Linked DNA regions of Arabidopsis thaliana. The protein of the gene in region 1 purifies or fractionates together with the protein of each later gene. This does not show direct contact. Each region holds a gene or a part of one and is shown in the gene's direction. Other genes may lie near its edges.

Region 1 (4,886 bases):
TTTTTGTTTTTTGTGCCAACAATCTTCAATTAATATACATAAACTTTATAAAACAGAATGAGTAACACTTACACTTACAAGTTTATTGGGTCTTTCACTCTTCTGGATAACAATATTTTCTAGATTAACAATCTGACTTACGCTTAAAACCTACACAAACGGTGTATAAATTCCACACTTTTATTCTTAAAATACATAGTTTTCCTTGTATAAAACTTGTAAGCGTTATATACATAGCTGGAGCAAATTAAAATATATAATCAAGTTGCTAGTATGAAACAAAGAAAATTGAATGTCCCATACTCTTGTATTCAAAGGATTTTAAAAATGACGTCTTATATTAATACAATTTTATCTCACTTAGGAGGAAGATTATAAATAAGTTTTAAAAAAAGAAATGAAGCGTTAACGTCGTCATGCTTGATGTCAACTCTATGGCATTGCTCAAAAAACGTGTCAACGTTCTTACATTCTGGAAGTCTTTGATTTGGTGATGCATTGAATATTTGAATGATATAGTGTTACAAATAGATTCGTAGTTGTACTTCTCTCACAACCACAAACACCTAATCCGAATCAAGATTTTTGCACTTGTTTTGGATATATATGTCATACCAAAAAAAGGCAACGAGAAAAAATAGGGTCAAAATTTTGATTAGATATAGCTGAAGCTAGAAAGCAAACCCATGATGAGAAGAACACAATAACCGTCCAATTTTTCTGAACGTGAGGGATCTGAGTAAGCAAGTTTAAAAGATTCAAGAAGCTTTCTAATAATATCAAATTTATCAACCCCACTGATCCCTGTTAAGATTCAGCTGTGTGTTCGAAACTCCCATTACAAATGCATGCATATACCTATGAGCAATATCTATAAGGTTTTCTTTAAAGCAACAACGATTGTTGGTAGAGACCGAAACACACACAAATCTTATAATATGCTTCATGACTTTTGAATTTTGCTGTCATCAAATGATGCTATACTATACCCCCATTTTCAGGGATTCTTCAGATATATCCACATGACATAACTAACACAAGTTTTAGCCATTTCAATTAGTCTGACAGATCACAGACCTCACATACCGTATAAGAAAATAGTTAATTACAAATCAAATGTGGTAGTCCTAACTTTATCAAATAAGTTATGCTATTGCTCAGTCTAATCATATAGGAACAAAGTGTGATCAACTGATCAATCTCTAGTCTCTACAAGACTACAACAAACAGATAATAAAGTACAATATTCAAAATGTACAAACAACACATAACAAAAAAATTAGGAAAATTCAGATGAGTGAATGTAAAGTTTCCATATATATTGATAATATTATCTACCATATTTGGAAGCAAAGAAATAATGTTCTCCACAACAACCAAATCATCCCTCCTCCAATTATCTTTAAGAATATTGATCGAGATATCCGCAACGCTATCTCGGGTAGAAGGCATAAGAAAAGATGGCGGAAGTTCATGCTTCTTTGGATTCGATAGCTCGGTCTTTTCTTTGTTGTTCTTGAATATATTGTAATCTTGTTTTTTTATCTTTTTTGCCAAGATTGCACTATCATTAGGTAAAGCTCTTTGTAATACCTTCAATTTCATTATATGATATTTACAAGTCAGCAAAAACATATATATATTATCATATGGGTGGTATCAAAATCAGATGTTCAGTCCTAAAACAATAAAACCAGCTCACAAATCTACTAATCATATTTTTAGTTTAATTCTCACCACGAAGAATTAAGCTAAAGACAACAACAATGGAGAACAATCTCATACACGAGCGACCAAAAACCCAAGAAGCAATCAGATTAAGGTTATGTCCAATTATAAAAGTCAAAACAACAATTAAAGACTATGTAACTAAGAAATTAAATCTAAATAATATCGTTATCTAGATAGAGCAAGCGAAAGCCACCAGTTGGAGTAAGCCACCACCAACTCCATTGACACAACAATTCACAACCCAAAAGACCTCTAACGAGTGACACGATTCGGTGCATCGACTCAGCTGTTATTTGACCAAAATACCCCTGTTAATTAACACACATCCCGAAGATGGATCTGAGTCTGCAGCTGCAGATTCACGGCGCGTTAATCAACAAAGGCCCGTCGTGTACTTCTTATTGGGCTTCTTCTTCTTCACTTTCTCTTCCTCGCGATTTCATTTCTTCTTCTACGTTTCTTCTTCATCGAAGACTCAGAAGAAGAAGCTGCTCTCGTTCTCGTGGAATCCGATTAAGACGGAGTGGTTTCTCGGCGATGCCTTGTTCTTCTTCTGATACTCTTACGGCTTCTCGCGTCGGTTGTGGCGGAGGAGGTGGTGGTGGAGCCGTTGGCGGTGGAGCTGAGAATGCTTCTGTCGCTAATTTCAAGCTGAACGAATCTACCTTTATTGCTTCTCTCATGCCTAAGAAAGAAATCCGTGCGGATTGCTTCATCGAAGCTCATCCTGAGTACGACGGTCGTGGCGTTGTTATAGCTATCTTTGGTACTTGGATATTCTCTCGTTTTGTATTCTCTAGATTGAATTTGTGAATGGAGAAGTTTTGTATAAGCCTTATGTTATAGTTGGGTTGCTTATACTTGGATCAGATAGTAGAGCGATTGTTTGGTTCTTAAGAAGGTGTTGTAACTCTCCAAGTAAAAATTCTGATTGAGGAACTGAGCAAATGGAATTTTGTGTTTTCCAGATTCTGGTTTTGATCCTTCTGCTGCTGGCTTGCATGTAACTTCTGATGGAAAACCCAAGGTTTTGGACGTCATTGACTGGTATAGTTTTGTGATTTAATTGAATTTTGCATTTAGTGTTCTTTGACTGTGGCGTGATGGTCATTTTACGTTATCGTTTAGCACTGGAAGTGGAGATATAGATACATCCACAGTGGTGAAAGCCAATGAAGATGGTCATATTCGTGGAGCATCAGGTTGGTGATTTGAGAGGTTTTATGATTTCTGCATGATAGTTTGCTTTCTCTTTCTTGCTACGATATGCGTTGATAATTTCTTTTGTTTAAACAGGGGCAACTTTGGTTGTCAATTCTTCATGGAAAAATCCCACTGGAGAGTGGCGTGTAGGTTCCAAGTTGGTTTATCAGTTATTTACAGATGACTTGACTTCTCGTGTGAAGGTAGCGATTAGAGTTGTGACCTTTTTGGCTGTTGGATTACTTTCATCTACTCATTAAATCTTATACCAGAGTTTACATATCTGGTCTGCAATCCCATTTGCTAAGACTTGTTTTGTCATTACACAGAAAGAGAGAAGGAAATCCTGGGATGAAAAGAATCAGGAGGAAATTGCCAAGGCTGTAAATAATCTGTATGATTTCGATCAGGTACTAGGGAGATGCTGATTGTGGTTTGCTGTATTGTAGATGTTATGAGTTAGACAGTGCTACTCAATTCTATCATAACCTCATTTTTCATTCTTGCCTCCAGAAGCACAGCAAGGTGGAAGATGCGAAATTGAAGAAAACTCGTGAAGACCTCCAAAGCAAAGTTGATTTTCTGAAAAAACAAGCTGATGTAAGTTTAGAGACCGCCCTTTGGTAGTTTTATGTCTGTGTACTTGTTCGCTGTGGTCTTGAATCTGTTCTGTAAATCAATTGTTTTTTCTGTAGAAATATGAAGACAAAGGGCCTGTTATTGATGCTGTTGTGTGGCATGATGGAGAAGTATGGAGGGTTGCACTTGATACACAGAGTCTGGAAGAGGATCCAGATAGCGGGAAACTAGCAGACTTCTCCCCACTGACTAACTACCGGCAAGTCTTCCTTTAAACATCTATCTCTTATGAAAGTTCAGGAACTTTTCGTTTGGAAGCATGATTTGTTCACCAATTTTTTTATTTTATTTTATTAATCTCAATCAAATATGTACTACAGAATTGAACGGAAGTATGGCGTGTTTAGCCGACTAGATGCATGCTCCTTTGTTGCTAACGTGTATGATGAGGGAAAGGTTCTAAGCATTGTAACTGATAGTTCTCCTCACGGCACTCATGTTGCTGGAATAGCTACTGCACACCACCCTGAGGTGCAAAACGCATCTATATAATTTAGATACATTGATGATTTGTTGCAACCAATTAACTTACCTTCTATGTGTATGTTAGGAGCATTTGTTAAATGGTGTGGCACCTGGTGCACAAATAATATCTTGCAAAATTGGAGACTCGCGATTAGGTTCAATGGAGACCGGAACTGGATTGACTCGGGCATTGATAGCTGCCCTAGAGGTAATAATTCATCAGCTGATATGAATTTACCATTAGCTGAAAATCATTTGTAACTTCGTGAAAGTATATTGTATGAAGTTTGAACTAAACAAGTCGTATATCTCTTGAATTACTTAAACATCACGAAGAATTTCATATATTTGTGGATTATTATATGTGAGGTTTGCATTGACACAAGTCAATACGTTCAATGTTTCTTTTTTGTATATACTGACTTTTATAATAATGTTACAGCATAACTGTGATCTTGTCAACATGAGCTATGGAGAGCCAGCATTACTTCCAGACTATGGGCGCTTTGTTGATCTTGTTACTGAAGTATCATTCAAATCCTTTTGTCTTTATTTGGGCAGCACTTATTAGCTTGTATTTTTTGCTTTTCTTCTAGCGTTTATGGACTTTCTGCCATGTTTTATTAGGCTGTGAACAAGAGACGTCTAATTTTTGTAAGTAGTGCTGGCAACAGTGGTCCAGCTTTGACAACAGTCGGAGCACCGGGTGGAACAACGTCCAGTATCATTGGGGTTGGTGCGTATGTTTCTCCTGCAATGGCAGCAGGTGCCCATTCAGTGGTGGAACCTCCCAGTGAGGGGCTTGAATACACTTGGTATTTTCACCTTTTTTAACTTTGGAATTATTC
Region 2 (4,460 bases), 3.1 Mb from region 1:
GTTTGGACCGCAAAGAATGATGGCCTTTATCTTTGGAATTCTGCAATCGGTGAAGATGTACTGTCGGAGAAATGGAAATCTGGATGGTGAAAACATATTTTTGATTTGTTGGTAATTTTTTAACTATTATATGTATCTGTTAATTTTGGCAGGCAAAAAAAACTGAAGTAATACTTTACTTTTGTCATAAATTCTCTCTTATTTTTTTGTATTTTTCATCGAAGATTTTTGTTTTCTTCGATCGTGTCTTGGATTCAATTGTTTTTGGACTGTTCAAGACAATGGTTTGCTGCTTTATAATCCACCTCATCATAGAGGTTTTAGATTGATATATAAAGGGGATTCACCATGATTCAATTCATTGTTGAAGTCGAGAGATCTTTGAAAGTTTATTCGAGTATAATCCATATTAAAGAAAATTCAACCATGTATTTTGATCACGATATACTAATAATTAATTATCAGTATGAGATTTTATGTATTTGTTATTTATGGGGGACTCATGGGTCAATCATTTCTAAGAAAGTATGGATCATGGATTCGTTTTCGTTCAACTTATTTATGACCATATATACAAGTACTAATGGTGACACTAGAATACATTGTATGACAATAGTCTCTTGAAAACAAAGTCAAAGCATTAAATATAGAGATCGGAGTCAACAATTTAGAGTTTATAGAATTAAAAGGAAAGGAGGATAAGAAGAAGAAGAAGAAGAAAAACTTAGCAAATATATGAACAAATATATAAAGACATTGTAACACATTTACCTCTGACATAAGTTTTTTTACATTTGACAAGAAAGATTTTAGAAAAATGGGAAAATCTTTGCTAAGTTTATTTGTTATCCTCCTTTCGTTTGATTCTATAAACTCTTATTTGATGCCTCCTCTCTTCAGAAAATTCAATGTCCAAATAGTAAATCAACTTGAGTTTCACAAGATACTGAAAGTTCATTGCAAGAGCAAATCTCACAATTTCCCAATCACATATCTTAAAATTGGTGAAAGTTTTCAGTTTAAATTTAAAATTTATCCAAAAACTCAGTATTGGTGTAATTTATGGCAGGTGAGAAAACACATTTTTAACTTTTTTATACATTTCTTTACATATTGTCATGTATAAAAATTAAGATGAGTATCAGTGATTGTACTATAAATTTTTGACCAACTTTTTATTTCATCTTTGTTTGTTATAGGGACCAAATTACAAACACCATGTGGTTTTTGATGCGTTTCGTCCAGACAAAGATTTTATAGATGGTACATGTACTGGTATGCATCCTAATGTATGTAGATGGACTGCAAAAGAAGAAGGAGTCTATGTCCGCAACAAAAAGTTCGAAGGAGAATATTTCATGTATACATGGGATGGTCCATCAAAACTTGGAAACATCTCTCCAGTGTCTGCACCTACAAGTGAATCAGAATTGGACTCATCAGTCTAACCCCACATAGATCTAAAAAAAATTATATCATGATGTATAATCTTTGGTATCAATAATTGTATGTTGGTTTCAATTACAAGCCCAACTATTGTTTGGGCCTAATATTTATATATGGGCCTTAGTCAAAGATTAAAAAAAAAACATTTCTTCTTCCCAAAGCCAGAAAATATCAGTACAAGAGTACAAGAGAGAAAGAAAGGAACCTCGAACTCAGAGAAATTGAGAGAAGAGAGAAGAATCATGGGACAAGGACCATCGGGAGGATTGAATCGGCAAGGAGATCGGAAACCTGATGGTGGAGATAAGAAAGAGAAGAAGTTTGAGCCGGCGGCACCACCGGCTCGTGTAGGGAGGAAGCAAAGGAAGCAGAAAGGGCCAGAGGCGGCGGCGAGACTTCCGACGGTGACTCCGTCTACTAAGTGTAAGCTCCGGTTACTGAAATTGGAACGGATCAAGGATTATTTGTTGATGGAGGAAGAGTTTGTGGCGAATCAAGAGAGGTTGAAACCTCAGGAAGAGAAAGCTGAGGAAGATAGATCTAAGGTTGATGATCTTCGTGGTACACCTATGAGTGTTGGGAATTTGGAAGAGTTGATTGATGAGAATCACGCTATTGTTTCTTCTTCTGTTGGACCTGAGTACTACGTTGGGATTTTGTCCTTCGTTGATAAAGATCAGCTTGAACCTGGATGTTCGATTTTGATGCATAATAAGGTATGTGAAATTAGGGTTTAAGAATCTTGTTTTTGTTGTGATTACGATTGTGTGTTGTTGTGGATTTAGGGTTGCTGATTTGTTTTATGTTAGGTTCTCTCTGTTGTTGGGATTCTACAAGATGAAGTGGATCCAATGGTGTCTGTGATGAAAGTTGAGAAAGCTCCTTTGGAGTCATATGCTGATATTGGAGGTTTAGAAGCTCAGATTCAGGAGATTAAGGAAGCTGTTGAGCTTCCTTTGACTCATCCTGAGTTGTATGAAGATATTGGTATTAAACCACCAAAGGGTGTAATTTTGTATGGTGAGCCTGGAACTGGGAAGACATTGCTTGCTAAGGTTTGTCTTTGTACCTAGAATCTAATGAGTATTAGTGTTTGTTTGCAGTATAGCTTAGTTTACTACTTAACTTGTCAATTACATTCAGTTAATCGTTTGTTCGGTCAAAGGCCAGACCTTTGTTGTGCTGCTGGTCACCTAGATTTCATACGTTTGAACATAGCGAGAAATTTGTTCTCATGGATAAGAATCTTTTGAGTCACTTGTTTCTATTAATGTCTTCCTTTCTCGTTTCTCTCTGTCACAAGCATGAGATAGTTGCAATTTGGTGGTGTTATCTAATGGGAATAAGCTCTCTAACTTGATCTTATTTTAGGCGGTTGCGAATTCAACATCAGCTACTTTCTTGAGAGTTGTTGGTAGTGAGCTGATTCAGAAGTATTTGGGAGATGGTCCTAAGCTTGTGAGAGAACTTTTCAGAGTTGCTGATGACCTTTCACCATCAATCGTCTTCATAGATGAGATTGATGCTGTTGGTACCAAGCGGTAAGTTAAACTATTTTCATAAACCTGATCTATAACCCATTGATAATGGTTATCTGATTACTTGTTGTTTGAAAGAACAGGTATGACGCTCACTCAGGAGGTGAACGTGAGATCCAAAGAACTATGTTGGAACTTCTGAACCAGCTTGATGGATTTGATTCAAGAGGAGATGTTAAGGTCATCCTTGCAACAAACAGAATCGAGAGTCTTGACCCAGCACTGCTTCGACCTGGACGGATTGATAGGAAAATCGAGTTCCCTCTCCCAGATATCAAAACAAGAAGACGTATCTTCCAGGTAATATATAATTCTACTGAGATGGCAAATCAATGACTTGTTCGAAACTTTCTTGTTCATTGAGGTTGTGGGTTCTGTTTATAAAATAGATACACACATCGAAGATGACTCTCTCGGAAGATGTAAACCTCGAAGAGTTTGTGATGACGAAAGACGAGTTCTCAGGAGCTGATATAAAGGCTATATGCACTGAGGCTGGTCTACTAGCTCTCAGGGAGCGTCGTATGAAGGTAGAGACTCTTAACCATTTAGTTCAAGCACATACAAACACACACACACACACCACTTGGGCAATTACTAGCCACTGACGCTAATGTGTTTAAATTGGATTTGTTCAGGTGACACATCCTGATTTCAAGAAAGCAAAGGAGAAGGTTATGTTCAAGAAGAAAGAAGGCGTCCCTGAAGGCCTCTACATGTAAAATTATAATCATATCGTCATCATCGGCTTTCCTCCTCCACACTTTGTTATAATACTTTTGCTTCTGCTTAGGATCTTTCTGGTCATATAAATTGATCATGTTTTCTGATCTCCTCCGGTAAAACAATTCCTCATTTCCATTTAGGATGTCTATTTCGCATTAAACTTAACCAACTGAAACCAAGCCCAAATAAAAAAACTGATCTTGTCACAGAATGTGAGGACAAAAAAAAAACAAAAAAAAATTCTCTCTTCCTTGGCATAACCAACTCTTCAAACTCTCTCTATCCTGGATGCTTCACACAAATTTGTGGAGCGCTTGAAAAATTGTTTCATAAAAATAGTTGTCTATATTTAATTTCGGTAATCTATTGTGCAAACATCGGCTAAATAGTAATTACACAGGTTCTTTTAAGTTTTAACAAATCGAAACTTACTTCATAATGTGAAGAGAGGAGATAATTCAAAAGTTACTAAGTGTCGCTTAGCGCCCATGCGAGACAAATGGTTCTGTAAACGTCAATGTAGCCACCGAACAGGGCTCTGCAAGGGACTCAGCTGCTTCACCGAAGCCTTCAATGGCTCCAACGTTCTCCCTAGCTTTCACAATGTCAAACAAGTTGTTTGGTAGCTGAGCCACACCGTCCAAGAACTGGATGACGCTCGACATGCTTGGTCTGACGGCTGCAACCGGATGCGAACAGAACAAGCCGAGCTTCAGAACCAGTGCTACTTGCTCCTCAAGGTACTTATCA

What was found.
Region 2: the proteins of TPP2 (region 1) and RPT2a purify together in Arabidopsis thaliana (affinity purification with mass spectrometry; 2 studies listed by BioGRID, with this or other methods). This does not show direct contact.

What each region holds. Positions count from the first base shown.
Region 1 is NC_003075.7:11,167,068-11,171,953, reverse strand, and holds the start of TPP2 (tripeptidyl peptidase ii), read left to right. Parts: upstream 1-1,882; 5' UTR 1,883-2,064; coding exon 2,065-2,497; intron 2,498-2,699; coding exon 2,700-2,778; intron 2,779-2,859; coding exon 2,860-2,933; intron 2,934-3,027; coding exon 3,028-3,137; intron 3,138-3,263; coding exon 3,264-3,344; intron 3,345-3,447; coding exon 3,448-3,534; intron 3,535-3,629; coding exon 3,630-3,772; intron 3,773-3,893; coding exon 3,894-4,044; intron 4,045-4,123; coding exon 4,124-4,246; intron 4,247-4,480; coding exon 4,481-4,564; intron 4,565-4,665; coding exon 4,666-4,853; intron 4,854-4,886. UniProt on the Arabidopsis thaliana protein: Serine protease of the proteasome pathway that may function with the 20S proteasome to degrade oxidized proteins generated by environmental stress.
Region 2 is NC_003075.7:14,310,681-14,315,140, forward strand, and holds RPT2a (regulatory particle AAA-ATPase 2A), read left to right. Parts: upstream 1-1,602; 5' UTR 1,603-1,688; coding exon 1,689-2,162; intron 2,163-2,255; coding exon 2,256-2,501; intron 2,502-2,817; coding exon 2,818-2,987; intron 2,988-3,067; coding exon 3,068-3,284; intron 3,285-3,373; coding exon 3,374-3,514; intron 3,515-3,622; coding exon 3,623-3,706; 3' UTR 3,707-3,920; downstream 3,921-4,460. Other genes in the region: AT4G29035 (Plant self-incompatibility protein S1 family), read left to right, coding at 1-90; AT4G29037 (plant self-incompatibility protein S1 family protein), read left to right, coding at 818-1,069, 1,200-1,448; AT4G29050 (Concanavalin A-like lectin protein kinase family protein), read right to left, coding at 4,190-4,460. UniProt on the Arabidopsis thaliana protein: The 26S protease is involved in the ATP-dependent degradation of ubiquitinated proteins. The regulatory (or ATPase) complex confers ATP dependency and substrate specificity to the 26S complex.